4 linked regions of the Diceros bicornis minor genome follow. The protein of the gene in region 3 purifies or fractionates together with the protein of the main gene of each other region. This does not show direct contact. Links are inferred from orthologs where the notes say so. Each region holds a gene or a part of one and is shown on either strand. Other genes may lie near its edges.

What was found.
Region 1: the proteins of YAP1 (region 3) and CCDC85C purify together in Homo sapiens (affinity purification with mass spectrometry; 5 studies listed by BioGRID and IntAct, with this or other methods). This does not show direct contact. The link is inferred for Diceros bicornis minor from reciprocal best matches to the Homo sapiens genes YAP1 and CCDC85C.
Region 2: the proteins of YAP1 (region 3) and RUNX2 purify together in Homo sapiens (affinity purification with western blotting; 4 studies listed by BioGRID and IntAct, with this or other methods). This does not show direct contact. The link is inferred for Diceros bicornis minor from reciprocal best matches to the Homo sapiens genes YAP1 and RUNX2.
Region 4: the proteins of YAP1 (region 3) and PHGDH purify together in Homo sapiens (affinity purification with mass spectrometry, with the first as the bait; 4 studies listed by BioGRID). This does not show direct contact. The link is inferred for Diceros bicornis minor from reciprocal best matches to the Homo sapiens genes YAP1 and PHGDH.

Annotation. Positions count from the first base shown.
Region 1 is NC_080763.1:44,739,529-44,747,067, forward strand, and holds the start of CCDC85C (coiled-coil domain-containing protein 85C), read right to left. Parts: upstream 3,012-7,539; 5' UTR 2,764-3,011; coding exon 1,983-2,763; intron 1-1,982. UniProt on the Homo sapiens protein: May play a role in cell-cell adhesion and epithelium development through its interaction with proteins of the beta-catenin family. May play an important role in cortical development, especially in the maintenance of radial glia.
Region 2 is NC_080753.1:20,602,672-20,609,890, forward strand, and holds the start of RUNX2 (runt-related transcription factor 2), read right to left. Parts: upstream 3,012-7,219; 5' UTR 2,985-3,011; coding exon 2,607-2,984; intron 1-2,606. UniProt on the Homo sapiens protein: Transcription factor involved in osteoblastic differentiation and skeletal morphogenesis. Essential for the maturation of osteoblasts and both intramembranous and endochondral ossification.
Region 3 is NC_080746.1:32,841,622-32,849,531, forward strand, and holds the start of YAP1 (transcriptional coactivator YAP1), read right to left. Parts: upstream 3,015-7,910; 5' UTR 2,583-3,014; coding exon 2,262-2,582; intron 1-2,261. UniProt on the Homo sapiens protein: Transcriptional regulator with dual roles as a coactivator and corepressor. Critical downstream regulatory target in the Hippo signaling pathway, crucial for organ size control and tumor suppression by restricting proliferation and promoting apoptosis.
Region 4 is NC_080743.1:51,497,831-51,505,280, reverse strand, and holds the start of PHGDH (D-3-phosphoglycerate dehydrogenase), read right to left. Parts: upstream 3,012-7,450; 5' UTR 2,916-3,011; coding exon 2,778-2,915; intron 1-2,777. UniProt on the Homo sapiens protein: Catalyzes the reversible oxidation of 3-phospho-D-glycerate to 3-phosphonooxypyruvate, the first step of the phosphorylated L-serine biosynthesis pathway.

The sequences.
Region 1 (7,539 bases), on a different chromosome or scaffold from region 3:
GACAAACCTAAACAATAACAACCCCATCTGTAACTGAAATTTGTGATGACGCTGAATTTTTATTTCGCCCCAAAGCAAAGCTTTGCCACCACAAAATCTACAGCAGTCCTGTTCCAAGTATGCGTGGGACTTGGAGGGGCATGGATTCTGCAAGAAACCCTACACCTCAACCCTCCCACCCCGCAGTGGGGTGGAAACCCTCAGGTGGAGCCCAGTCCCCCAGTCCTGCACCACTCACTGCTGCAGATGAAACACTGGGCCAGACAGGGGCCACGTCTCCCAGTCCAAAACACGACAGAACTTCCTGCAGATTACGCTATGACACTCAAGCACTTCAGTGCCCTGCAGAGAATCACTCTGGCCAAGTGTCACTATGACACAGCTGAAAACCAGAACCCTTTCCTTTCCCAGGCCCAGGACTGCAGCAATCCCCTCCTCTGTGTTGTACTTGGGGAAACTGGGGCCCAGAAATCTGGCCCTCCCAAAGCTCCCAAGAAGGCAAGGCTGGAGAGGCTGGGACTGGGACCTCACTCCCCAGACCCTGAAACCCCAACAAATTAAACCACCTAACTTTTGAGCTACCCAGACTGGCCTTAAGGAGCCTGTGGTGGGAGGTGGGGTGGATACAGAGTTACAAAGAGAAACCAGAGTTGCAGCGGTAGATTGCTAATCAGTAACAAAATACCCCTCTCAGCCCAGTCCTGCCCTGAACTCACAAGCTGGGAGGGTATTAGGAAAAACTGTGCTGGCCTAGCATCCCACCTCCACCAGCCCAGTGCCCACCGCAGCCCCCACTCCAGGGCACCTGCAGAGGCCACTTGGCCACCAAACCAAAGACCCAGCGTCTCTCCCCTGCTCAGGCTGTCACCTGGGGAAGCACAGTCATTTAAGGCCTAGATACATTTTCTCTGAACGAGGAAAGGCTTTAAAAGAGCCAGAAAGGGCTGTTTAATCTCCACCTCCAGCAGCAATTGCCACCAGAACTGGGAGCCAAGCCACCAAAAATGTGGAAGAACAGGGAGGCAGGAGAGGAGCGAGGCAGCGGGGAGGAGAGGGACTGACTGAGGGCTGGGCATGATAGCCGGCTGCTCTGCTCCACAGACCAAGCTGGGGGCCCTCTGCACTGGGCCCAACAGTCTCAGGCATGGAAGACAGTACCTGGGCTTTCCTAAGGCCAAAGGTCCTCCCACTGACCACCGTGGCACTTCCTATAAGGCGACCAACAGTTTACAAATCCCTTCAGGGGCTTTATCTCCACCTCAAATCCCCAAGGCAGGAACCATCATTTCCATTCTACAGATAAGCAAACTGAGGCAGGCAGAGAAGAAAAGCCAAGATCCATTCCAAGCACATATCCCCCTGGAAAGTCCCCAAGCCTCGGTTGAGAAAGTTCCCTCCACCCTGAGCAGTGCAGGACTCATAGCAAACCAGGAAGCCTCTTAGCCCTGGTCCTCTGACCCAGCTGCCTCCCCTTCTCAACCCGGCTGCCTGTGCTCCTTCCCATCACTGCAGACAGGGCCGGGGAAGCCCAGGTGGCATTCCAGCCACGGCACACACTGGCCGCTGCTCAGATTTGGGGGCCGCCTGTTGCTCCAAATTACAGGGAAATTCTTGCGCTCAGAGGACCTTTCATGTTTTTCCATGAAGAACTTCCCGCTCCCAGACAAGGATCTCCAAGGCTGGAATGAAGTGCCCCCAGCCAGCCCTGCGGTGCTGGACACTGATAATGACAACTCCACAGAAGAGAAACTTTTCTGGGGTCTGGCAGGTCCCATGCGGGCTGCAGATTAGGAGCTGGGCAGGGACACGCCTCCACCACTTGACCAGAAAAACACCACCCAAAGCCCCACTGTGGGTGGCCGCGGCATCTCCCTGCCCAGGGTTCCGATGCCAGCTGGAGAAGGGGTCTGGAGTGGCGGCCGCCCCCGGAGGAAGAGGCTGTGGCCCCGAGACCCGCGCGGCCCGGCCCGTGCTGTCCTTACCGTGCAGGCCGTTGGGGATGCTTCGGTGGTGCGGCGGTGCCGACAGGTCGTCCAGGGACCTGCGCGTGGCTACAGCCTTGCCGTCGGGGGCCTTGTGCGGCCCGGGGGGCAGCAGCGGGGGCGGGACGTGGTGGTGGTGGTCCGGGCTGCCGCCGCTGCCCGCGCTCGACGTGCTGCTGCCGTCGCCCACGTCGCGGGTCCCCGCGCCCGCCGCGCCGCCCGCCAGCGGCCCGCTCAGGCTGGCCTGGCTGTCGATGGAGCTGCGGGAGCCCGCGCCACCGCCGCCCCCCGCGCCGCCCGCGCCCCCCGCCAGCGCCGCGCGCTCCTCGTCCAGCAGCAGCACCAGCTCCTTGAGCTCTAGGTTCTCGCGCAGCAGGGCCTCCTGGCGCGCCTCGAGTTCGCGCAGCTTCTGCTGCGAGCGGGCCACCTCGTGCCACACGGCGCCGGCCGCGTGGCGCCCGAAGCGCTGCCACTCGCGCGCGAGCTTGCGCCCCTTCTGCCGGTCGTCGTCGAGGAAGCAGCAGAGCTCCCGCAGCTCCTGGTTGTCGTCCTGCAGGCGCTGGTTCACGTCCTTGAGGCCGCGGATCTCCAGCAGGTGCTGCTGCAGCCGCCGGTTCACGTCGCGCATCAGGCCGCCGTGCTCCAGCATGAGGCCCACCTTCTCGCCCTCGGCGCGCCGCAGCCGCCGCGCCAGCTCCTCCTTGCTCCAGCGCAGCAGCTCCTCGTCCGGCACCTGGCTCAGCTCCTCCGACGCCGCCGTCGCCGCCGGGGGTTTAGCCATGGCGGGGCCGTCACCGCGGCATCGCCCGCGCCCTCGCCCGGCCGGCGCTCCCCGCGCCGGTGCTGCGCTGGGCCGGTCCGCGCGCGGGCGGGGGGCGGCCGGGGGCGCGTGCAGCCCTCCCTGCGCTGCCTCGCGCGCCCACACGCAGCGCCCGCCCGGGCGGCCCGGGAACCCGCGCGTCTTGGGGCTCGGCGAGCGGGGACCGCAGCTGCGTCGGCGGCCGCCGCGCCGGGTGCTCTCCGGGCTGAAGCGAAGCAGGCGGAGGCCCGCCCCCCGCCCAGCTCCCGGAGCCCCGGCCGCCCCGCCCACTCCGGGCGGGGAGGGGCGGGGCGCCGCGGCCCGGGCCCGCCTCCGGGGGAGCGAGCGGGTGTAGAGGCGCCACAAGCCCCCGACGTCCCCCGGCTCCGTGCGCCCGCCCGCTCGGCGCCCTGCCAGAGGCGCGTTCGAGCCGCGGTCCCGCCCTCCTGCCCGTCCGATTGGGCCTCTCCGGGGGTGTGTGGGAGGGGCGGGGCGCGCGCAGGGGACGCCGCCGAGATGGTACAGTCCACCCCTGGGCTTCCAACCCCCCTCCCGGCGGTTCAAGTTTCTGCGCCCGGAGGACGCGGCCTTGGCCAATCCCAGGGCTACAGGGAGCTTTTAAAATGCAGGTACGGCTTCGGGGAGGGGGAAGGTGGGAAAGGTGGGGCAGGGCTTCCCTTAAAGGAGACGCGCGGAAATGGGCGCCGAGCCCCTTCCCCGGCCCGCGTACCCCGCCCGCCCTGCCCCGCCCCAGATAGACAAATACTGTACCCACGGTCCGGAGGACAGCTCCCCTTCTCCCTCCCGGGGACACCAGAGTCCAGCATAGTCTGAGATACGAGGAACAATAGGACTCTGACACAGGGGTCGCTCTCCCCGGCGGCAGGGCAGCTCTTTGTCCCCTTCTCTGCCCCCGGCTCCTCCGCCCCCACCTCCACCCTCGTCCCCTGCCGGAGCGCGCAGAGAGGCTGCGGTTCTACTCCAGACCGGGGCTGTGGCTCCGGCGTCTGCGCACGGGGAGAGCCAGGGCCTCGCCAACCGTGTCCCGAGCGCGGTCCGTACCCTCTTCTCAGCCCGGAGGGGGCCAGGGCGCCGGGAGCTTGCCCTAGCCCGGAGCGGCGTTCAGAGCACCGCTCCCCCGCCAACTGGACCACTCGTCCCGGGAATTCGGGGGAGAATCTGTGATTCGCGAGGTGGAGACCGACCACTGGGGAGGGTGGAGCAAAGTCTCCTACTGGGGTCTTAACGCCAGGGTCGGGGGGCGCCGAGCCGCACAGAACCCCTTCACCACCGGCAGCCTCGCCCGGCACGCGAGTCTTCCCACAGCCTGAGTCTGTCTCGTTATCCGCGCGTCCCCGAAGCGCGTTTACGACGCGTCTGCCGCGAGCCGGGCGGTGGGGGGCGTCCCTCCCCCGGTATCCCCAACGAGATAAAACCCGCGCGCTCGACCGTGAGCGGCCACAGCCTGGAGCGCGCGCCCGCGCCGCGGCTGGTGTCCTGATTTACAGCAGCTCAACCATTCGCTCGACAACTGTGTACCCAGTGCTTGCTCTAAGCCAGGCCTGTGCTAGACCCCTGGGGGGCTCTGCAGGGGACGACAACAAAGGCCACTGCCCTCTGGGGGGACTTTGCACTCTAGGGGAAGGAGGGGAGAGAAGATAATAAACAAATTAGATAACTGAGACTGTCGTAAGTGCCGGATAGGGGATTAAGACAAGCTGCTGTCACAGAAAGTGATGATCAGTTACTTTAGATCCCGTGGTCAGGGAGGTCCTCTGAGGAGGGGCATCTAAGCTGAGATCTGAGTGACAGGAAGGACAAAGATAAAGGGGAAGGGCAGTCCGGCGGATGGAACAGCTAGTGCCGAGGCCCTAGTGGCCTCTTCCAGGGAGGCCAGTGGGGCTGGGAGTGGGCCAAGGAAGAGAGATGAGAGATGAGCTCAGAGGGACAGGTTATGCATGATTGGAAGGCAGCTGGGAGAGCAGTGGGGGGTTAGCAGGAAGCAACATGACCTGATGTGCCTTTTAAGAGGCTCACTGTGGCCTGTATGTGGAGAAGGGGTGGGGGGGTGCAGAGAGGGGCAGATTTGGTACCTCATTCCCCACCTGTCCGCCCCTCTCTCCAGGTGGATGGTCAGGAGAGGGGGATGGGGAGACGATGAGCCAGAGGGGCATGGCTTTGAGGGTCAAGCCCAGGGGTGCTGAGGGTCCCCCAGACATGGCCCAGGTGAGCCAGCTCCTGGCTCCTGGGTGGAGGGGCATCCTCCTCACCGGGGCTCTGTGCTCCGCAGGCCGAGCCCAGCGCAGCCTGAGTTTGGGTTTGGAGAGGGAAGGGGTTTCAGCTCACACTTGGGGAGGCTGCAGGTCTTTCCTAACCCAGGAAGCCAGATTAAATAGCTCCCTGGAGGCTCCCCACAGAGCAAAGCCTCTGCAGAGAGCTGCTCCTGGGAGAGGGAGGGATGAGCATAGGATACTGTGGCTCGCTAGGAAAGTCACTGAGACGTTAACACTGTGCTTGTGGCCCCTCCCCATTTGTTGTGGCCCCAAGTGGTTCCTGTGGCCTGCAGCTCCGTCTCCTGATCCTCCAGGGCTAGCAGCTTCAGCTGAACTTTCCAAGAGAAAAACAAAGCCTCCATCCAGGCAGGGTTTGTTTTGCATCGTCTACAGGCAGTGGGACCGAGAGTGCCCCGGCCAGGACCCACGAGAGCACCTCTGACACCCCCCTGGTGCAGCAGACAAGGTGCTGGGACGAGGCTACCCTGTGGCTTGAGGGAGACTCTGCTCTCTGCACCCTGGCTGGACAGGCTTGGGCAGATCAGAATAGGACAGCGGGAGGGTGGGTGGGCCCAGAGCTGAGACAGGGGCCTGAAGCAAGAGGGACCGTCCAAGCCAGACCCCCTCCCTAAGGGCCCTCGTCCCCCAGGTCCAGCAAGAGGTGCTAAGCCCCCTAGAACTCTCACCATCCCACAGACGCTGTAGCTGAGCCAGGACCCGATATGTCAAGCGTCTGCTTTTTCAGCTCCGTGGTCATGATAAGCTTTGCTTTGTCGTGAAGACAGTAAAACCAAATCGTGGATCTCTAACAGTAGTTCTCTAGCTGCCCAGTGAAAGTAGCTGTGGGTCTTTTAAAAAATGAAGATGCACCACCACTCCTCAATATTTTTCTTTAGGATCTCCTGGGCTGTGTATCTCCATTTAAAGCTGCACAAATGTTTTTGAGAGCCAGCTGGGAGAGAGCCAGTATACTAACCCATAGTAGACAAAATATTCCAGAACGCCGGGTCTGTGAGACTGGGAAATGATAACAGCATACTGGTGGTAGGCAGACTGTCTTCCCACTGGGAGGGGAGGGCTGTCTTATTCTCCTCTGTGCCTGGACCCTGAGCACAGACCGCAGAGCAGGCATCATTTGATGTTTGCTGAGTGAATGAGCGACCCTTTGGCAAGTGACCAATGGAGTCAGCCCCTCGTTTTGAAGATGAGGAAACTGAGCTCCGGAAGGGAAATGACTTGCCTCAGGTCACTTTCATTCATTGGTTTACTGAACACACAAGCATAATTAGATAAGTATTTATACATAAATGCATCTATATGTGCAACCATATATGCACTGTAAATGCTTTGTGTAGGTACCACAACAGAGATGAGCAGAATGCATCATTATGGGAGCATCCTGAGGCGCTGGGAGCAGCTTCCTGGAAGAGGTAACTCCCGAGGTGAATCTTGAAGAGCAAGTAGGAGTTTATCAGATTGAGGAGAAGAGAGGAGATGGCTGGGATACACCAGGTGGAGCGAACAACACAAGCCAAGGCCCAAAGGTGAACCACAGTGAGGTGTGTGTGTAGATACAGCCATGCCTTATTGCTGGAACATACTGCAGAGGCACTGAACAGCAGCGAAAAGTCACAGAGCAGTCAGGTAACGGAGCTGGGCTGAGGAGGGCTTTGTGAGCCACGGGAGGAAGGGTGGCCCCTCCATGGGGCTGATAGTTATCAGCAGGAACAACAAGAATAATAATAACCATCACCTCCTACAACTTACCCAGCACACAGTATGCACCAGGACTCTAACCCAGCCCTCTTGTGATGATCATAACGACCCTATGAGACGGTGTCGTGAGCCCTTCTGAGACGGTGTCGTGAGCCCTTCTAGGATTTAACATGGATGCCCGTTGGCTTGGCTGTTTGTCTCCACGAAGCTCAGGTCACCGAGTGTGAACTTATGGGCAGTTTTCGGAGGTTGGTGGACACCCAAGGACTCTGGTGTGGCCAGTGGAGGGTTGTGTGGTGGCTGAATGTTTCTGCGAGTCAGTGAGGCGATGGCAGCTGACCAGGTCTGGGGCCAAGCTCTGCGATTTCTTCCTTGACGACCCCCCCGGGGAGGGGAAGTCACCATGCATGGCTGAAAGGCTATGATGCGGCAAGAAATCAGGGCCCATGCAAAAGCGACCATGATTATTGTTAACAAAGAGTAGTGTCAAGGGAGCACTTTCTGTGTACCCGGCACGTGCTAGGGCTTTACGTGGGTTGTCTCGTGCAATCCTTACCGCAGCCCTGTGAGGGGGGAACACTCTAGCCCGTTTTATAGAGGGGGAAACTGAGGCTCACGCAGGTCAAGTCACTTGTCTGAGGTCACAAGCGAATGAACTGGGATTTGAACCCAGGACCATCTGAGCCCAAGAGTGCACTTTACCCTATAAACTACTCCTTCTCAAAGAGGAGGAGTGGACCAGCTGCTCTGCGATGTCCCTCCCGCTGTG
Region 2 (7,219 bases), on a different chromosome or scaffold from region 3:
TTTTGTTAAACACAGGCATGGAGGTGGAAAACATTGCGAGTCAAGTTTTAGGTTAACTGTTTTTCAATTAAAATATATAATTTTATATGTCCATGTGTTGTCTACGGTTTTGTTTACTGTTTGAAAGTAAAATTACTCTGTAATTAACAAGTATAACTAATAGCAAAGAAAGCAATTTATTTTCAAAATTAATTTTAAAATGGTGGTAATGAGAAAATCTAAAGATAACCAAAATATCTGAGAAAAGCTCAAACTAAATTGCATTCTCTTTATGCCAAAAACATCTTTTCTATCCAAAATACTAATACTCAAAATTAACTCAGCAGCATAAACATAAGAGAATAGTTTAAGACAGTTATACCTAAAATACGTTTAGCAGAACAAACGGAATGTAAAACATCGAACATCTAAAGGATATCTTTAAAAATGTAGGCACCTATCCTTATATTTTCACATATCTTGACTTGTGGCATTGTATAGACAAAATATCTACTTATTTGCATTATTTGCTGTTTTCACTCAGGTTTTTTGTTTATGTTTTGAGGTTTTTTTTGGGGGGGAAGGTTGGTGGAAACAAATTTCTCACATAAGGCTAAATAGAAAATTCTAGGCCCTTGGACGATGAACATTGTAAAAGATATCTCTTGTATGGAAATTCAAACTTCTACAATTCACATATATTCTGAGTTTTTCATATTTCAAGGAAGAAAATATAACCTACAAAATGGGTAGTTTACAAAAGGAGAAATGGGACGGTTAAAAAAAAAAACACATTTCTTGAGCCAACTGCAAAATGAAACTTGCCCCAGAACGCAACATCCCCTTTCCATAACAATTCATTCTGATTTCTTTTCTGATATAAGACCCAGCGAGATACCCAGCTCTAATTGACCTGGACTCCTCTTTCCACGCCACCCACACACGGAATCTGAATTGGTGCGTGGGGGGCAGGGGGCCGATCAACAAATGGGAACTGCCGGTGGCCCGTGGGAGTTTCGCCCCAGGATTCCCAATGCAGGAACTGGCACGATTCCTCCCCATTTTCCCCCTCCCTCAAGGCCTTGCTCACCCTGCTCTCCAGAGACCCCAGAACCCAGGGGACCCAGGCCCACCTTCACGAGTTCAGAGGCTACACAAGGCCGGAAGCGCCTTTCGGAGCGCGCTCTCCTCCCTGTCTGGCTCATCGCCCCCTCCATCCCCGGCGTCCAGTCCCGCGAGTGAGGACAGCCCAGGAACCCGTTTCCCCATCAACCCGCCGCGCGCTCGGCCTCGGGGGCTCCGCGTCTCCCCCTGGCGAGGGCTGCCCGGGGAAATCCTGATCGCATTACGGAACCCCCTCGGGCTCCTGTGAGAGGCTCGGGACCTGACACCCTCAACCTGCAGCGCCGCCGCCTGCGATCCCGCCGCCGACACCCGCCCTCCAACTAACGGGCCGGGCTGGCGGAGGAGGCCGCGGGGCGCGCCGAGGGCGCTCTTAAGCCCCAGGGGTCACTCCCTCCGCGCCCAGGCCACCGGCCCGAGCCTCCCACGACCTTTCAGAAGCAGGAGGGACCCGTGGGATTTCAGTCCTCTGAAAGTCATCGTAAGACAAATCCGCACATTTCATCTCTGTTCAAGGCGGGCGAACTGAAGGCATTTCACAGGTTTCCTCATCCCTCCCAGGCGGGGCGCAGCGGGGAGCTGGTCCGGGCTGAACCGGGCGGCCCGAGCCCCCGCCCCCTCCACTGGCCCGCGCCGCCCCGCACTCGAGGGTCAGGCGCCCAGGACCCGGGCGCGCGCCGACCCCAGCGGCCCCGCCTTCCTCCGGTAACGGGAACTGGCGCGGGGCTGTAAGCCGCGCAAACGCCCCCGTCCTGTCTCCCTCTCACCCTCCCCGGGTCCCTAGGTTCGCCCGGGACCCTCTTGGACACGCGTAACGCGGCCCACGGGCCGCAGCCGGCACCCGGCGCCCAGTCGCGGGCGCGAACGCCTGGCGCCGGCGCCCCACGAACAGTGGCCCCCGAGCCCGGGAGGGGCCGGGCCGCTGAGGCTCAAGCGGGTCAGAGAAGGGGTCGCCGAGACGGGTGGCGGGGCGTTCCGCGAGGAAGGAGGAAGGTGGGAGCGCGCGGAATCCAGGCGAGGGGGGCGCGGGCAGCCCGCGGTGTGGGGTCGCCGGGATGCCCGGGGAGAGGGGATGCCCCGGAGTCCAGGGGAGAATGCCGGGGATCCTCGCCCCTGGGGAGTGGGGGGCGGGGTGGAGCAAGTCGGGGTGGCGGCGCAAGGAGTGGGCACCTGGGGGCTGCTGGGGGGAGGGGAGACGGCTCAGAGGAGTGGGTTAGAACATGGGCCGGGAGGCTGGAGGGGTGATGAACGGATGAAGGGGACAAGGGCTGCGGTGGTGGCTGCGGGCACAGGTGGGAGAGGGAAGCATCTGCGCAGGGTCACTGCGCCCTGAGCCCGCAGGGGGATCTGGAGGAAGAGGGCCAGCCAGGGGTCCCTCGGGTCAGAGCCACCAAGGTAGGAGGCCTTGGAGGCCGTCCGGGCGCCGGCCCCCGCGGGCAGAGAGACGCCGGCGGGCAGGTCCCGCGGCGCCCAGCCGGGGGCGGGGGGCGGCCGCAGCTGCTTACCTTGAAGGCCACGGGCAGGGTCTTGTTGCAGCGCCAGTGCGAGGGCAGCACGGAGCACAGGAAGTTGGGGCTGTCGGTGCGGACAAGCTCGGCCGGGTGGTCAGCGATGATCTCCACCATGGTGCGGTTGTCGTGCGGCGGCCGCAACCGGGGCACCGCGGCCGCTGCTGCCGCCGCCGCCGCCGCCGCTGCCGCCGCCGCCGCCTCTTGCTGCTGCTGTTGCTGCTGCTGCTGCTGTTGCTGCTGCTGCTGTTGCTGCTGCTGCTGCTGCTGTTGCGCAGCCACCACCGGGCTCACGTCGCTCATCTTGCCGGGCTGCAGGCTGCTGGAGGGGGGGCTGAAGCGCCGGCTGGTGCTCGGATCTACGGGAATACGCATCACAACAGCCACAAGTTAGCGAAGTGGCCGGGGGAGGGGGAGGAGGGTGGAAATGAGGGGCGAGGAGGAGGAAATTGGGGGGGGTGGAGGCGAGACGGGGGAAAGGGGATGGAGGTGATGGGGCTGAGGAGGTGAGAAATCAAGTTCGATGAAGCCAACTGCCGGGTGGAGTCTGACGGGCCCCGCGGTGGCGGTGCGGAGCAGTTGGGTTGGCGGGTGGGGAGACCCGGGAGGCGCTGATCCTGCCGAAGCCTTTGGAACACCCGGGGTGGCAGCTGCGAACCGGCGCGGGGATGTGTTTCGCCCGGCGAGGCGGGGGGCTTCAGTTTGCAGCTTGGAGTGGGGTCCCTTGGGGCACCACGTCCTGGGTGCGCTGGCGCCCCCTCCCAGTTGGAGTCCGGCGGTGGAGCGGAGTGAGTTCAGCAGTCCAGCTCCGGGGTCGGCATAGCCGCGCGCCACCCGCCACCGCCGCGCCGCGCCACGCCGAGCGCAGCTCCCCAGCTGCAGGCGTCCGCGCCGCCGCCCGCCCGCGCCGCTGCCGCCGCCTCCTCCGCGGCGGCCGCCGCTCCCCCCGCGCCGGCTGCACGCTCAGATTCCTCCCGCGGCGGCTGCCAGCCCGGCCCCCGGGCTCGGCTCCTTCCTTTCCCTTCTCTTCTTCTCGCCCTCTCACCGCCACCTCCTTGCATCCACTCCCTCCTGCTCTTTGCAAAGCTCCCCTGATCCTCGCGCTTCGAGGTGCCCAGAGGTAAGTCGCGGGCAGCGGAGCTCGGGGCAACGGATCTCGAGCCTGCGAATCGCAGCCGCTGCCGCCGCCCGCCGGCCGCGAGAAGGAGCCCCCCGGACGCCGCGCGCAGCTTCCGAAGCCGAGAGAGGCGGCCCCGGTCTAGGGGGAATCTCGCCTGGTTGCGTCCTCTTGCTTCTCCCCCCTCCCCCCAGGACAAGGAACCCCCTCTTGGTCGGATGAGGTTGAAGCTGAGACGCCAGAGAGCCGCCGGCTGATCTGACTGTCGTTATTTTTCGTTGTAACTTCAGGAGAGGAGGAAGGAAAATTCTTGAGCGTCTGTGCTGACTTCTCAGTACTCTTCACCCTTCCCCCACCCCACCCCCACCTCTGCCCGAGCGGCTCCTGGGGAAAAAAAGATTTTGCAGGGTTTGGGTGCTTTTTTGTCTTAAGTGACACAAAAAATTGGGGTGGAGGGAGCACTTGTCAAAATAGTTTTTAGAAACTCAAGTGGGTGGCTGGACACTTTTGTCTTCTATATTCAAACTTGTCGTTCCTAGAGAACAAGGATGAGTTTTTTTAAGGACTGGAAAACTGTCGGCTTGATGATTAAAATAAGTTGCAAAAACCTTGCTGGGGAAAAACCCCAGCAGTCTTCCATGAATTTCAATCTTTTATTAAGTCTATTCTGCATCTAAAACTAAGTCTAATGTCTTAACTTTCTTCCCCACCACTCCCGGGGGGGGGGAATAAAAATACAAAATAAAATATTCAAAATGATTCAATGGCTATTTATTTATGTATTTATTTCCCAACCTGGGTTAAAAAAGCGACTTTGGATCCCCCCAAAAAGTTGTGGTCGAGAGGATGAAGGAGCGCGGGAAAAAAGCGGCAGTTTTACCTAAAATGTGGTTTTTGGAGGCTGGGATTTCTAATGATTAGGTTTTTGTGGTTTATATAGACACGACTCTGGCTAAGGCGATCATTACGCTGATGAGAGTCAGAAGCACGTGGGTGTCTCCGACCAGCCTCAAACTCTGAGCCTTCAAAACAAATCAAACAATGTGCGGCGCCCACAGAAGCCGGGAAATCCGCTTGAGGCTATTGCACCCCTAAGAACGGGGCACAGGGCCCTTTCCACTCCACGTTGTGTACTGCTAAGTTCCTTGCTTACTGTCAAACGCCTTTAACCTCCCAAAGCTTGAAAACGTGTTTGCAAAAAGAATCATCAGTTGCCAAAGTTTCTAAGGTTCCTAATAGCGTAGCTGACACAGTAATAAGTGATTTTATAAAATAAATGAAAAATTATAATGCCTGGCCCTAGGAGTATTAAGGAAGCAAGATAGTTGAGTCATCACTTATCTCCCCTCATCTTATTTAAAACAATTCATACACCCATTAATCGGCGAATTTATTGCTCAGCGCAAACGCCTCTGTCACTCTGGTAGCGACCTGCCACAACCCTCCCTCTCGGTTTTTAAAGCTTTTCTTCCACTGGCTGAGACGGCGCTCGGGGTCTGCGCCTTTGCAGGGGCCTGGGAGAACTTCGAGAGCATCGGGGGCAGAAGGGGGGCGCAGAAGAGAAGACCTGATTCCTGTCACGGACTCTGGAGCCCATTTCAAGCGCAAGATGAACTGGCAGGGATGCAGTTGCATGACTTGGAGACCAGGATTGCCCTCTAAAGAGATGCGAGGGCGACTGAGCGTCTTCCAACCGCTGGAGCAGAGGTGGGGGGCGGGGGGGCTAGGCGTGCGCCCTCGCGGGAGTAAGGATGGGGTTCAGGGGGCACTGCTCTGTCCTTCCTCTTTTGGGCTTTATTTTTACCTTCCCTTTCTCCATTCACAATTCCACTCCTCCCTTGTCCGTCTTTCCCTTTCCCACTTTTCTCTCCACGTTCCCGCCTCTCTCCAAAATCCCCCCACAGACGCGAGCTTCGTCGCCGCGCCCCTCCCGCCTCCTCTGCCTTCCCAAGGCCGCCTGCCACCCTCGGTGACGCATTCTGCATCACCCGCTACGACACCCCCTCCTCAACCTACTCCTCGCCCCTGGCCACCTGGCTTCCAGGCCCGGGCGCCGCCGGGGTGCGAGGACCCCCTTATCCCGGCGAACTTGATGCACAGCGAGGAACCAAGCTGTCTGCTGCGCGTGCGATTTTTAATTATCTTTTCGGTCACAGGGGAGAGCTCTAACCCCGGGCACCGCCGCGCCGCCTGAGCGCACGGGGGTCGACTCTTCCCGAGCTGCACGCGGCCGACCCGCCAAGGGAAGCCAGGCTTACCCATCAAAAAAAGACCAGACTGCATCCATTACTCTGCTACCTTACACACCCACTCACATGCATTCGGACGCGCACTCTCGCACATCCACACTCTGACACTTATAAATACACATACGCAACTCACACACACTCGAATCTTTTATTTTATTCTTTTATTTTTTTGCCTTTTAGCGGGGCAGTTTTATTTTGGGCACGTTGTACCACTGTCTAACAAAGATCTCTGACTTGTTTTGTTTTTAAATGTGTGGGGGCTGCAAAGGAGGGAAGAAGTTACAGGAAGTGGATTATTTCTGTGGTCAAAGGGAGATAGAAATTCAGTAACTACCCTAGTAGGTGATATGCCGCCTTCTCTAGGGTTTTCCTTCTTCTCCCAGGAAGTCCACAGAACGGGAAACTTCCAGAAAAGACGCTAAGTAACAGGCAAGATTTCAAATATGGGCGACCAGATGGGCTTTTTTGAATAAGAAATTCTAGGGCAGTTTGAATTTAAGTAATCATCTTGGGGACTTTCCTCTGTCTTTCTCTATCGCTGTTTTGTCCTTTCTTTGTTTTACTTGGTGGATAGCAAAATATGAAGGCCTCAAAGGTTGAGTCCCTTGACTGGGGATTTTAGGGGCGATTTAATCAATGGTGAATTATTTATTTTAATTAATCATATCCGGTAATTCAGCTTTATAGCCTTCCTTGGGCATCCTCCCTCCATTTCACATTTCAGTGGAACTAATATAAGCAGCTCTTGGAAGTCACTAGTCTTGGATCCCTTAAAATATCCTACAGTTATTTATAATGTGGAAATGAAATTTTCCACTGAATACCCTAACAACGTTTCAGGTATCTGGCACAGCGGGTTTTCAGTCTCCTTTCAAAAATATCCTCTTGCTGAACATTCACACTTTCAACTGGAACTGACTTAGCCTGGAACTGATGATGTCTTGGCTCAGAGCATTATACTTAGAGGAAGAAAACATTTTTACAGACCCCTAAACTAAACCTCTCCTGGTAATAGTAGGCACATAGGAAAACCATGAAATTTTACATATGTGTATTTTGTGCTATAGTTTGCATGATCTCACTCTTGAGTTTAAATTTTCTTCTACCCCAAATGTTCAGAACAAATCACCACTAGATTCCTCTTCAGAGGTATTCATCTTTTCTGTTGTATATTATGGCATAAAAAACAACATACATTTTTCTGAAAATGTGGCTACTTCAGAAGATATAAGCATAATTTTCCC
Region 3 (7,910 bases):
CTCAGACTCTAAAGAACTGGGTTCTAGTCCAAGTTGGTTAGCGTGACACTGAACAATATCTTAATCTCTGAGAGCCTCAGTTTTCTCATTTGTAAAATAGCTTCTTTCATGATGGAAAAATGGAAAACACATATATGAATGAATTTATATCCAATAGTTTGTGGACAATAGTATTTACAATCCACATTCATACTATTCATAATCTAGTATAGTTATTTAAATTCCTTGATTAGATTTAGGATTTGATCATCAAAAAGATAGAACTTCATAGATTCACATAGGCAAGAAAGGGACACTGGAAGCAATCAGCGGAGGCATTTACTCCTTATAGCCAAGTCGAGTACATTTCTGAATTTCCCATCAGAGTAAATTTGAATTAGGAAATCATTAGCAGAAACAAAAGGCAAACTTACACATACACAACATTTAGTTAAGAAACTTACTAAAAAGTAACAAAACTATAGATTATGAATAGTACGAATCCATAAACTGCTGGATTCACGTGCAATTATTTACTAGAAGTGTAAGTACACTTTTCAGGTGCAATTCTTTTGGGCTTATACATGCCACAAAATGAGGAATTCAATGTCCTATATGTATTATACTTTCAAAACATATTAAGTAACCAGCTGCATAGCTGTGTAGTCTGTAGGGTGCAATGGTAACACACATTTACCCATAATGAGTCCAGACACCCACTTCCAGGGGGAAGAGAAAAAAGCATACCTAAGTCTACTTCTTACAAACTGAAGTGTTTCGGCAAGCAGCTAAATTGTTTTTCCTTCCTCCTCCTTAACCCAGGTTTTTGTCAGCAAGTCAAGGGAGTTTCTCTGAGTTCCAAAACCCCCTTAGTCTGCGGCAGAACATACAACAGGCCTGCAAACAGGAGGGGGAGTGGGAATGGGAGTGGGGGTGATAACTCTTCTTTCCACTCAAGTTACAGCCCGAGTGGACTAACTACATTGCAGTACTTGGAAAACCAATTAACTTTTGGACAAAGTTCCTAGGCTGAAGTTTAGCCTGAAGCAAGTTTTTTAAAAAAAAGAAAGAAAGGAAAACCTACACTAAACAAATCTACTGGGGCCTGTCGGAATGTTAACACTTTCATAATAGTTTCACTTCATTGCTGGATGAAGTTGACAAAATAAGCGAATGTTGTCTATGTGGAACAGCCATGTTCATATCCTCAATAAGAATTAGAAAAGCAATGGCGAGCCTCAACTTAGTCATCGCTTCCCAAACATTAACTTTTAATCACAGTTGAACTAGGCAGGACTCGGCCTATGAGTCAACCTGCAGTGTATTATCAAAGGCTTGTGTTAAAACCAAGGCATTGTAAAGCGCAACTCAGGACCTGCGCAACGTGCACATGTGGCTAGTTTAAAAGCATTTCAGCAGACTGTAAATAATAGTCCACAACTGGGAAACCAACACGTGAACCTACGAAGTTTGATAAGAGCGAGCCTGCCCCAGTTCCAAGGCGCAAGGGAAGCGCGGGAGTAAAAGCTAACTCCATAAACAACTTCCAGGAAAGTCTGGATCCTGTATTCAGAAAGCGCCGGGGCCGCGAGGAAAATAAATGCTTTCGGGAGGGGGAGGGGGAAGGGGAGGGGGAGAAGGAGCAAGAAACTAAATGGACTGGTTGAACCCCCACCCCTAATCAACACTGGAAAACAAGAGAACAATTATTTGACTCCCCAGGAGACTGAAGTGGACCGAGAGGCCCCGAAGGAAAGGGGGCCCAGGGCTCAACTTCACAAACTCGGCCGCCACTGGCAACTCACCCACACACAAATGCCAGAGGGGGGGCCCCTCCCCCTCCCGGCCCGGCGGCGGCGAAGGTGCGGAGCGCGGCGGCGCGCGCATTGTGCGAGCCCACCGCGGCCCGGGCCCAGCTCTCCCCACCCCCTTCCTTCCTCCCCACCTCCCCCGCCACTCCCGCCAACCTCCCGGGAACCCCAGGAAGAAAGAAAGAAAGGAAGAAGGGGAAAAGCACGCCCCCGGGGCTGCAATCGGCAGACAGAAACTCCGAGGGGAAAAAACAAATCTCGGCCCCAGACTCCGGGAGGAGTGGGGAGCGGGGGACCGCGGCCGAGCGGGCGCCTCCAGTCCCTCGACTTCTCCGCGAGGTCCCCTGCCCCCACCCGGCTCGAGCTCCCGGAGCCCCCCTCCCCCGGCCGGCGCTGCGGCCGCCGCTCCCGAGCGCCCCCGGGCCTGGGGCCCGCCCGACGAGTTAGCGGGGAGAAGGGCGGTGAGGTTACCTGTCGGGAGTGGGATTTGGGCTCCGGCGGCTTGAAGAAGGAGTCAGGCAGCTTCCGGAGCCTCATGGGCACGGTCTGGGGCACGTTGGCTGTCTTGGGGTTCATGACGGCGTTGAAAAGCGCCTCCAGGTCGGTCTCCGAGTCCCCCCGGACGTGCACGATCTGGTGCCCGGCGGGGGGGGCCTGCGGCGCCGCCTGGGACCCCGGGGGTGCCTGCTGCCCGGACCCGGACGGCGGGCCCTGCCCCTGGGGGGGCTGCGTGGGCGCCTGCCCTTGGCCCTGGGGGGCCGACTGAGGCGGCGGCTGCTGCCCGGGATCCATGGTTTCTGCCTCCCTCGACGCGCACCCCGACCAGGCGGGCTGAGGGCTCCGCCCGGGCGCCCCGGCTCGTCGGGCCGAGACGGGAGAAGCGGCGAGGGCGGCTGGGCGGCGGGAGCGGCGCTCTCCTCGCTCTCAGGGCCGGGGGGCTGCGCCGCGGCCCCGCATCCCCCGCCCCGGCGCCTCCGCCCCCGCCCTGCGCCCCGGCTCCACTGGTCTGGCGGCTGCGCCTCGGGAGGGGCTGCGAGAGACCCGGACTTGCGGCGCCTGAGAACTTTTCTGCCTTCACTCCCTTGACGGATGCCGGACAGCTAGTTGCCTTTCCCCTCCCCCTTTCTCTTTTATTTCCTTTTCTTGTTCCTTCCTTCCTCCCTTTCTTTTCCCCGGCGGCGGCTGCGCCCGACTGAGACAGAAACTCGCCTCAGACGCCAAAACTAAAGTTGAGAGAACCGCCCGCCCGCCCGAGCCGCTCGCCGGCTCCGCCTCCTCCCGGCTCTTCCTTCCTCTGCGCGCCCGCCCGCACGGGATCCGCGGCCGGCCGCGGAGGGAAACTTTTCCCTGCAAGTTACAACATTCCTGCAGACTCCGGGCCTCCGACGCTCCTCCCGGCCACACGTGACCCAGTCGCCCTCAGTCCCGGACTGCGCCAGAGCTTCCCGGCGCTGGGGCCGAGAGCGTGCCTGGCCCTCCGCGACGGGAGGGCGGCCGGCCCGACGACGAACGTTGGGTCCAGTCTGGGTCGGAACCCTGGCCTCTGCGGAGAACGCGGCCGCCCTTGGCCGCAGGAAGTCCTACCGCCCAGCCCGGCGCCTTCGCCGCCAGTCCTCGGGAAAGGCGGACAGGCTTCCAGCTCGCCCCGGGATGCGAAGGCCCGAAGGAGTCGGGAGGGGACGTGTAAATCCACTTAAACTGCCCTCCCGTTAGCTGTACTTGACCATCCGGCGTGCCAGTGCGGCCTTAAATCCTCAAGGATAGGTTGAAGTTAAAATAGATACCCCAGACTGGCACTGATTTTAATAAGGGTCCGTTTTTTAACATTAACTTGATTTTTTTAAACTTCTTCATATGCAAAAACCCACTTGAAAGAGATAAACGATTACTGTGATTTGAAGCTTTGAGACTAGATGTGTGATTCAATGTAATTTACTAAAAAAAAAATGCATTTTTTAAAAGTGAAAACTTTTTTTAACACTCAGACTTGCAACATGGTCATGAAAAGCTCAACGCAAAAAATCAGTGCTTCACTTCGGTTACAGCATTCCTATGTGTACCTGCCTTTCATCCTCGAGGGGATGGGAGCCTACCCCTCATCCCTGTGCCTGGCACAAGACTGGACTCTGTGAATGTTGACTGAATAAGAAATGGATGGGCGAGGAGCTCACTTGGTTCTGTATATGGCAGTCTTATATGCAAGGAGTCCATTTGAAATCACTCAAGAGCAATGAAAGTTTGTTTTTTAATTCATACATTCTAATTTTTTTAAAAAAACAGCTTTATAGAGATATAATTCACATACCACACAATTGGTCCATTTAAGCAATTTAGTGTTTTTAGTATATTCACAGAGTTGTACATCACTCTAATTTTAAATCCACTAGCCCCTTCTAAACAAATCTGGCTTGTTTTAATGATTTTGTCTGCAATGCTAGTGAAACAGATGTATAAATAGGATTAAGCAAGAAAATGTCCCCTGAGCAAAAAGATAATCTCTTCCTCCAGCCAGGACTTGCCCAGGAGAATTCTGAGGAAGAATCTGTATCACTTGGTGGGGTAGGGTGGGGCCAGGGGAAGAGGCTTCAGACCCTCAAGATTGTAAGGCAAGATTCTAATCAGCTGCTCTGGACTCCCATTTCCTCTGAAAAAAGGAATCAGTGACGCCCATGACTGCTTCTTGGTTTTATCCCCACTCCCATCCCCAAATGTCAAGTGCATTTAACCACAAATGTGTAGGTTCTGGAGTTATAGAGATTTGATTTCAGATCTCAGTTCCACCATTTACGAGTTGTGAGACATCAGACAAGTTACTTATTTCCTGTTTTTTAATTTCCTTAATATTGGGGTCAGGGGTAATAACACCTACTTCATAGGTTGAGGTGTTAAATGAGACAATGGACATAAAGTAAGTATTTAGCCCAGTTTTTGACATGTGGTGAGTTCTGCATAAATGTCAGCTATCATTGTCCCATGTTCACAGATTACTTCACGTGTAGTAACATGGCCTCTCCTTTGCAGCAACCCCCTTTAGGGGCCCTGTTGGCAGTCTCTTCATCTCACATCCAATAATCTATCCACACAAACAAAGACTTTGGCCAGAAACTATGCATTAAAAACTTCAACTGAAAAAAAACTTAAGAACCAGTGATTGAACACCTAGGATTGTAATGGAAGCTGTCGCTTAACTAGAGCATTTACTACTATGAACACTATAATTAAAGGGCTTAGGGTACAGCAGAGGTTGCTTTGTTCAATATTGTTTCACCTGCCATTAAACTGAGAACAAAATTACTTTGATAAGTGGATTGAAAGGCTGTTTCGAGTTATGTTCTGTAAGCATCGCTGTAGCATCAACCAAGATTTTGGAATTTACTATTCCTCATTTATAAAATTTCAATCATGGGTTGATATGGGATAAAGATAACATGTACGCAATCCTTTGTCTCCTCTCTTCCTCTCCAGCCCCACTTTTAGAGCAATTATCAGTTTAAGGAACCTTGAGATAGGGAGTCGCCTTCTTCATACAAAGACCCACCATTATCCTGGATCATTTTCAATATCTGTATAGATAACTATCTCAAAACACTAGTCTTACAATGACTTGCCCTCTCAACTACAGTGGACCCTCATCTCCACTCCACTTTAGCTGCCTGCTCCTGTATCCACACCCTGTCATCCAGAAATACTCCAGTTGCAAAATCCAACAGTTATACTATTCTCTTCATAGCCATTTCGTTCTCTGGTTTCATTACTCACACCTCTCTCTTTTCTACCAACTTATCACTCCCTCCTGTTTTCACTTCTTTCCCAATTCACTTTAGAAATCATAACTCATTGCTTCAACCTCTCATAATCATCTATGCCCTCAATTCCATTGCCCCATGTATTTTAGTGAATTGGATCTATTAAACTGGATAATCCAGTTATCTGTCTTTTCCATTCCAACACCTAAGGCTTATGGCGGTCCGTGCCCAACATTCATTGAAAGCTTCAATCAAAGCTTTTGACGTTTTGTCCAAGTGAGGTTGTACTATCATCCCAGAGATGTACTGACATGACTACAAGAAGGCATTCACTGTAGAACTTTAAACTTTGTCCTATTACCAAATGACACTATCTGTAATGCATTATGAATTAATATTTTAAGTAAATTCTGTCATTATCTGGTGAATAGCACAAATATATTGCATTGTAATCACTGTGTGTTAAAAGTATTAATTTGCTAAGTGTAAGCATTTGAAATGTACTCTAGTTTTATAACCCTCTCTTGGCATTCCGGTATGACTGAATATACTGGGGACTTGAAAAGAAGAAGTATCCAGCCCTCTCCCAGCCTCTGGAAAGTCTAGTTGACACCCAGGTTCCTGGGGACAGCTGGAGGGAATCTCACAGGCGAGTGGATTGGTGCCCCTCCATATTTATCGTCTTTAACCAGGTTTCCTTGTGTCTGCAATTAGCTTATCATTCTCATGATATGGCTATTCTAAACTGTACCACTCTCCTCATCACATTTATTCATCATCTCCCTACCCTTCAGAAAATTATATCACCTCCATCTGCTCAGAGAAATGGAGGTCACCATGCACAAAATCCCTAAATCTTCCTCTGAACCTGTGGAAACATATATACAACCTCACAAGCCCTACCCTCCACAGCTACATTTTTGGAAAGAGCAGTCCGAATGACTGTTCTTCACTTCCTCACCTTTTGTTCATTTACCCTTTCACTCAACACACCTAAAACCGAACTCTTTACCCCTAACCTCCTGCACTTCCTACCACAGACACACCCTCCAAAGCCACATCCTCCTTCTGATTCATTATCTCAGTTAATGGCATCATGATCCACCCACTTGTTCAAGCCAGAAAACTGAGCGTCCTCTTAATTGCCTCCCTCTCATCATCACTTACATCCAACTGGTTAATAACGTGTGTTGATTTTGTTTCAGCTCTCTTAAGTCTGCTGCCCAGCTCCATGTCCATTTCCACTTCTACTTCACTTCCCATCATTTTTTTGCAGAGCTCCAAAATCATGTCCCTGCTTCTAGTTAATGTGGCTCCATCAGACTTCTATTCTGATGTCAGAGTGATCTTTCCAACATAAAAGTCTGATCGTGTTGTAATGTAATTCAGGACAAATTCACATCTCTTAGGATGATAGATAAGGGCCTTAACCATTCTAGTCTTTGCTTCTCTCCTCAACCAATCTCCTGCGACTCACCTATATATGTTCTGTTTTCCAGGCACACTGCATCACTTGTGGTTCCTTGAATAAGCCATTTTCCTTCTCACCTTTTGGCCTCTGCAGATGTTATTCTTGCTGTTTGGAACTCCCTTACTCCCCTTTTCACCTGGTTTCCCTTGGTACTCAACCTTCAAAACTTAACCCATTTGTCTACCCCTAACATGAAGCCCTCCTTGGCGCTCCCCTTCTCACTGGTCTCCACCCCACAGTAGGTGAGTGGCTTCTTCTCTGGGCTCTCACAGAATCCGCCCACCACCTCCAGCATAGAATTTACCATAGTTTGTTGTAATTATTTTTCTGTGTCTGTGTCCCCGACACCACTCTGAGTACTTCTGCAACAGTGCCTCTCGTCTCTTTATTCCTATGCCAGCAATGCTTAATAGTAGGTGCTCAATTAATATAGAAAAGAAGGAGGGGAAAGAGGTAAGGAGGGATCCCAGAGCCCAAAAGTAAAGGAATGGGTTTGGATCTCAAACAACTTGCTGCCATGATTCCAATTTTGAAAATTCAGTCTCCACAGACCAGACAGGTGTTTCTATATTATATACCTCTAAGACTTACAACACTTAATAAATGCTAGTGAATTTGCCTGAATTTTCAAATATTCTTGATGGAATAAAAGTAACAGTTAACATTATGCCAGAGACTGTGCTAAATGCTTTAAATGGAGTATCTCATTTAATCCTTATAACAACTCTATAAAATTAAAAATTAGGGACTGGCCTGGTGGTGTAGTGGTTAAGTTTGCGCATTCCACTTTGGCGGCCCCCGGGGTTCGCCAGTTCGGATCCTGGGTACAGACCTACTCACCACTCATCAAGCCATGCTGAGGCAGAGCCCCACATAGAAGAGCTACAACTTTACGACTATGAT
Region 4 (7,450 bases), on a different chromosome or scaffold from region 3:
CAGAATGCATCACATATAGTAAGGACATTATTTCATGAAACTTGAGTGTGTGTATATACATGTGTGTACACTGATGTATGTGTATACTGAGGTATGAGGAATGAATGAATGAATGAATTTCTTATTGTGGGTCATGGTCAAAGTTTAAAAGCCACTGATTCGTGGTCTAAGATTATTTAAATGTTCCTGCATATTAGCTTTATTTAAGATGTGACACCTGCTGATAGAAGAGGGGTACACAGTCTAAGTAACAGTTTCGCGAGTTCCAAACCAGATGCTTTATTATTCCAAGCCAGTGTTTTCCAAACTTTTTCAAGACCTACAGTAAGAAACACATGTTTAAACTGTGATTTTATACTCACATACCACACACACACAACTACACACATAATTGAAACAAATTTCACGACACAATACTTAGCCTTACCATCTGCCCTGCTTTCTGATATTCCTTATTTTGTTTTTTCAAATGCTAATCCTGACCCGTTAAAACAACTTCATTACCACCCACTAATGAACTGCTTCAAGCCTGAAAAGCACCGTCCTGGGAGATGATTGTACTTCTGACCACGGACTGAGAGAGCAAACTGTGCCTGCCCAGAATACCAAGGAGTGGGCACAGAGGCCAGGCCTGCTCAGGCAATGTCCTCAAGCTTCCTTCAGTATTAAAGAGACTTAAATGGGGGAGGGCAGTGACACTAACCCAGACACCTCTGCACGCAGAATAAAAAGACATAGTGCAGTTATGAGGACCCTCCTCCAGGGTTCCAAGGCTGCCCGAGGAGCCTAACCAGCATTCTGAACCTAATGTTTTACAAAGACAGCCGCGAAGACTGGGCGCTCCCAAGCAGCCCAACAATGCCCAGCGGTCAGTAGCTCCTGCCAGGAGTTCTCAGTGCCTTTAAAACATCCTCCAAGTTTTAGCTCCAGACTCCCAGCACCCAACCAGCTGACATTCCGACTTCATGGAAATCCCCTTTCATTACTTGTATGGCCTGCCATTCTTCTCAACTCTGCACTAACCCCTCCTTGTCCCTACCCCATCCCCAGGGTATAAGATTTCTAATTTCCATAAGAAAGCCACAAAGCACCAAATCACAGCAAATTCTCAACCTGTTGGTCTGCTGGAGGTGAGGATCAGAAGCTTGTCTAGAGGCACTCCACTGCCTTCTGCCCATTGCCCAGAGCCAAGGCCATTGATACCATCCACATAAAAGAAGAGGTGACAAGTGTGATGCGCCTGCCTCCCATCCAGTCCTACCACGCTCCAAGGATCAAGTCCTGAGCCCTTGACCCCACCCCTTCCAAGCTGTCACTCCCTTCTCTCCACTCTTCCAGCAGCGCCGAGTCTAGGCTGCCGGATAGTCTCATTTAGCACTAAGTACTGGGTCATCTGGTCAATCATCTCGCGTGTGTTGGCCAGGCTCCCTAACTAGCCAGCCTACAAGATTCCTGAAGGCAAGGACCGGTCAGAAACAGGGCTGGATACCTGGATACAGCACCAGGGGGAGGAAGGGGAGAAATGCGGGAGGGTCCGTGGAGAAATACAGCAGCAGATACAAGGGTAGACAAGGAGGCACAGGCAGTTTTGACGACCATGAGGTTAAAGCAACAGCAGCCGCCACTGTGGTTTGATTTAAGGGGCCCCCGGAGGAGGGAATCGTGGAGGGAGTGGATCTGCGCTGAGGTTGGTTAATAGGAGGCTACACTGCTGCTGTGGGAGTTGGGGGGTGGGAGAGGATACCTCGGACCGGTGGGGTGAAAAATACCAGGGTGCTGGGTGCAGCATGGAGCTAAGAAGTGCAGGAATGGGGTGTTGAGTTCACAAAATAAATGTCATAAGACTGGACGAAGCCACCAAACCTCGCAGGACCCTTACAAACAAGGCAGAGAGATTTGAAGTCGATGACGCTAATTGTGTATCGTAACAAACCGAGATACGTTCTTGAGAAAGATTTGCTGAGAAATACATATTTTGGGGGGGAGCTTGGGATCGGATTCTACTCCAGTCTGGTCATTCCAGACCAGCGACGAGGACATCCGCTGTGGCCGTGGGCGGAGACTAAGCCCGCACCGTGGCAGCTGCGGCCGCGTGGGCGGCCCCGGGGATCTCGGGCGCCCCCCGCCCACCCTCTTTCCTGCGAGCGCTCCCAGGAGGCCGAGGGGCGGAGAAAACTCGCAGCAGTCTTGCATCAGACGAAAGGCGGGCACGGCGGTTGCTGCTCCAGCCGGGCCGCCTTCCCTGCAGCTTCTCCAGCAGCCACGAGACAGGCTGGAACTCCGCCAGCGCCTCCCAGGGAAGGCAGGACGCAGCCGGGGGAGCCAGGGCTTGATCGCGGAAGGATCACGGGTCCCTGGTTCTGGGCTCCCCACAGGGAAGCCACTTTGATCCCCCTCCCCCAGTGCCCCTGAGCGGGGGGAAGAAGCGGCGCCCGGCTGCCAGGGCCACTGCGCGCGAAGGCGCTGGGGAGCCGCGCTGGCATCCCGCCGGCAGCCTGCAGGACCAGTTGGAGCAGCCTGCACTTTGCAAAGCTCGCGGGAAGCAAGCCGATGTGAAACACCGGGAGCAAACTGAGCGGAAAGTTTGCATCCTGCAGCTCGCCACCGTTCGTTCCTCCCTCCTTCTCCCCCCTCTCCCCAACCCCCAATTTCAAGAGGCCACAGGACTGACTGATACCAAGGAGCGGGGGTGGGGGTGGGGCGTGCTGGCCCGCGCACAGCCAGCCTGTTTCGGCTCAGAATTCCACGGAGCGCTCGTCTTTCTCCGCTCGCCTTACCTGCAGCTCGGCTATCAGCTCCTCCTTGCTCAGGTTCTGCTTCTCCACCACCTGCAGCCCTCCATCTTGCAGGATCTTCCGGCAGCAAGGGTCCAAGCTATCGCTGATGAGCACTTTCCGTAGATTTGCAAAGGCCATTGCTGGAGTCGGCTTCGGAATCGGCCCCTCTCGCCGGGCAGAAGCACCTCAGGCGAGAAGCTGCTGTTCCGGCTGGCGAGCTTGTGTAACTAGGCAGGATTCGCGATCTCCCGCTCCCCCTTTATCTCCCCCTCCTGCTTCTACTCTCTCTTTTTGATTGGACAGAAGTGCTCCAACTCTCGGTGACTCCGCCTCCTCCTCAAGGTTCTGAGCCTTCAGATTCCCGCCCACTTTTTTATTCTCGGGCAATGAACTTCTCAATCTCAGCCAAAGCCCTTCCCCACACCTGGTGAGCAGATAGAAACACAATTTACGCTGACTAGCTGATTCATATCTGAAATAAACTGAGAAATATTTGTTCTCAACCTGAGAGAAATGTTTCATCGTCTTTCCTCCTAAGGACTCATTCTTTAATTCCTTAACAAGCATTTATTGAACGCACATCTTAAGTGCAAGGCACCGTGCTGGATGCTGAAGGGGCGGGAACATCCTAAAGACATAGCCCCTTTCCTATGGTGGCCTAATATCCGAGGGTACCAAAGACATAGACACTGCAAGTTAAATAATAAAAAACAGTAGGAGGGGCCGGTCTCCTGGTTCGTGCTCTGCTTCGGGGGCCCTGGGTTCACAGGTTCGGTTCTGGGCGTGGACCTACACACGGCTCATCAAGCCATGCTGTGGCAGATGTCCCACATATAAAGTAGAGGAAGATGGGCACAGATGTTACCTCAGGGCCGATCTTCCTCAGCAAAAAGAGGAGGATTGGCAACAGATGTTAGCTCAGGGCTCATCTTCCTCACACACACACACAAAAAGGCGATAGGAAACTGTTTCCGAGACCTCACAAAGCAGTGATTAGTTCCAAATGAATGATGCAGTATGAATTATGAGTTTAAAAGAGACCAAGGACCTAGTGCATTTAGACCAGCCAGAATGTGGGTTCAAGTTCAGTATTCTCCTCTTCCTCCACTTCCTCTCCAGACTATGAAAAAGAAGAAAAGGAAAATGAGATGTCAGTCTGGCCTAATTTATATACTGACCAAGGAGGCGTTTCCCAGCTCTTAAGTCCTTATGTTTAAACCCCACAACAAACATGCTCTTCCAAGTCGCACTTGATAGAAATATTGGAAAATTCTGTTTTGGATTATTTAGGGCCACCTAGGATCTGAGGCAGAATCAGGGATGCTCATAGATGAATTAGAATTCAGTTTTATAGACATCCAGCCCAGTTAGCAGTGTATGCTGTTGTCCTGGACCATTCACAAAACTCAAGTATCCTACAGAACTGTGCAATATCAATACTATAAAATAAAAATTTTGGACTGATAGTGTGTAGGCACAAATCAGGTTTTAGACCAAATGCTCCCAATCGGAAAGATCATTTGTCTATCCTGTTCACTGGTTTGCATGATTTCTTGTTCCCACCTTCCAGCACTCATGAGTATTCCATTTCTATTCCTCTCAGGAGGTACCCAGCAGCCCCGGGAGGTCCTGGGAACAGACCGTAGATCTAGCCCTGGAGGCTAATGAAGGGGCTTGGGAAGCACCCATTTTTGTTACCACTGTCATTCAACTCCTCCCAGGACTCACCCTCTACTTTCGTTCAGTGGTTCAGTGTAGAATCTAAACCCTTTATCTCTAAAGTATAACCCCACCCCTTTACCCCAAGTCAAACATCTTGATTACTGTCTGAACTCACAACCCAGAGGCCCTTCCACATCTGTCACCTAGGCAGTATTTTCTTTATTTATTATTTGTGCCCCACCTACTTTCAAAATGGATCCAAGCTACACAACGTAAGACACTTCTAAACCCATTAAGAAAATAGTTAACAGATAAGAGTCCATTTCCAGGTGGAAAGGAGGATGTGTAATAATTTTTACCATGAACAAGCCAGAAACATTCCTCTTTAAATTTCTACGGTATTGTCTTCAAATTATCTCACAATGCCTCATATGTGAACATTTCATGTCTTGTACCCCCCAACTCTCATTAAGATCAGAGACATCATGACTTTATGTTCCTCTAACAGTGCCTAGCACAGTGCTTTCCACATTGTAGAAGTTTCATTCAAAAATTAATTTTTGAGCACCTACTATGTGCCAGGTACTATGGCTTACCTCTGGGGTTGTGGTGATACCTAAGACACACATCTTTCCTCAGACAGAAAGAAAAACAACATCTAAAGTATAGCTCTAAAGTATAAATAGAGATGTGCTTAAGTGCTTTGGGAGGGAGAAGGAGAACCCCCCCAGCACAGCCTAGGGGCACCAGGAAGGCTTCTAGCAAGGCTGACCCTTTGATGCTCATTGAAGGCAACCACCCTGAGAGGCCTGAGGATGCAGAGATAAGTAAAACACAATCTGCCTTCAAGGTGCTCTTGCTCAATTGCCTCATCTTGATAGCTGAATAGGAAGTAGCCAGGTAGAGAAGAAATGACATTTACAAGGACCCAGCAATGTGAAGAACTGCCGCGGGAGATGGCGGGGGGAGCAGGAGATGAAACTGCAGAGGGCCTAGGGGCTGCTCAGGAAGGGCCTTGTCCTAAGAAGGAGTTTAAACTTGACTGTAAAGGTAGTACAGAGGTGCTGAGTCATTTGTTAGAAGTGACAAGATTAAATTAGCTGGCTGAGCTGAGCCCTATATACTGCTAATGTAGATAATATCCCTCCCCATCCCACCCCCAACCCCTCACCCCATCTCCAACATCAATTGCAAGTGGAGAGTTTTTCTTTTATAATCAAGGATAGGAGCAGGAAAATGTTCTTCCTCTCCCTGTGTTATTGCCTCCATTCATAAAAGAGGAACTTTGGCCCTCTTGAAAGTATTAAGAAAATAATTCTGCCCTTCTTTCCAGACCCCTCACTCTCTCCCTTCCCCTGGCCCCAGCCCCTTGGGAAGAGAGCCTGTTCTGATTCATGAGTTTGGGGGAAAAGTCTGTAGGGGAGGAAGACAAATCCTCTATACACTCTAGGTCCTTCTGGCTGGGCTATGGACTAAATTCACATGAGAGAGAATAACAGGAGAAAATCAAACAAAGCTTTATAACATGTATACATGGGAGAGACCCAGGAAAAACTGGGTAACTCAGCCATCTGGCCAAGGATGTCATCTTAAATAGCATCTTCAGCTAAAGACAAAGGAGGATGTTGGAGGTAGTGGTTTGGGACTTCAAAGGGAAGGAAGGCAATTCACATGGAAATGGAAAAGCAAATGTTTGGTAAACAGAACTTTGATAAGAATGGGCTTAGCAAGGACCCTCACAGTCTACTAATACCCAGAGTGATCTATGATGATGGCCCGTCCTGGGGACAGGCCTTTTATCTCAAATTCTTTTAGGCAGTTAGGGGGAAGGCCAAAGTTTCTTTCAGAGTCTTTTCTTCTTAAAAATAATCAAGCCAAGGCAAAGAGACACATTTTGCAGTGGCCAGTTCTGATCCTAGTGTGAGCCCATGCCAACCCTTTGTTGGCTCTCCCCTTTGGAGCTGGAAGTCCACGAATAATGTGCACTCTCCTGCTTCCTTGTGTGTGGTGAACCCACCAGGGAAGGCCCCACCACAAGCACCTGAGGGTGCCAGAGCTACAGCTGTCCAGCTGCTCTGCCTCTAGAGGATAAGGTTAATGGGGGAGGGGGAAGCAGGAGAAGTAGGAATCCCATTTTTCTACTTGGAGCCCAGCTGTGATCTCCAAACTCACATTCTGAGTAATAAAACAGATATTTGGAGAGGTAGATGATGAATCGTCAGCTGCAAAACAGGTACATCTGGATTTGAATTGCAGCTTCTCACATTACTGATAATGTGACCTTGGGCAAATTATATTGCCTCTCTAAGACTTAATTTTCTTCTCTGTAATATGGGACTAATAGTAGGATAGTGTTGACTTCATAAGGTTCTTGTGAGGACTAACTAAGGGAAAGCAAACAAATAAGAGCAACCTGTAGTGCTTGCCTTTCATTCATTCATTCAGTCGGTCAGTCAGTCAATCAACACATATTTATTAAGAGCCTATAATGTGCCAGGCACTGCTGAGGGCACTGGGAAGGAAGCTTTGAACAAAACAAACACAGTCTCTGCTCTCGTGGAGCTTTTGTTCTGGTTAGGGACAGAAAATAAATAAGTAAATGAAAAATTGAACAAGATAATGTCAAGGTGTGATAAATATGATGAAGAATATAAAACTGAGTGACATGATAGAGAGGACAGGATGAGGGGACATCTATTTCAGATTTTATGATCAGGGAAGTCCTTTCCAAGAAGATGATATTTCGGTTGAGACTGAAATAAGAAGTTGACTATGCAAAGAACTAAGGAAAGGAAATTCTAGGCAGATTAAAAAGCAGAACAAGTCTGGCACATTCAAGAAACCTGCCCACAAATATTTCTGTAGCACTTACTGTCCGCCAGGCACAATGGCAGGCACTGGGATAATGGTACTGAACTAGTCACATTGATACCGAACCTCTTAATCTCAAGTTCGTGTGCCTGATGCACAGTAAACCAATCACTGAGACATCAGTGCTTGGAGATGGAGAA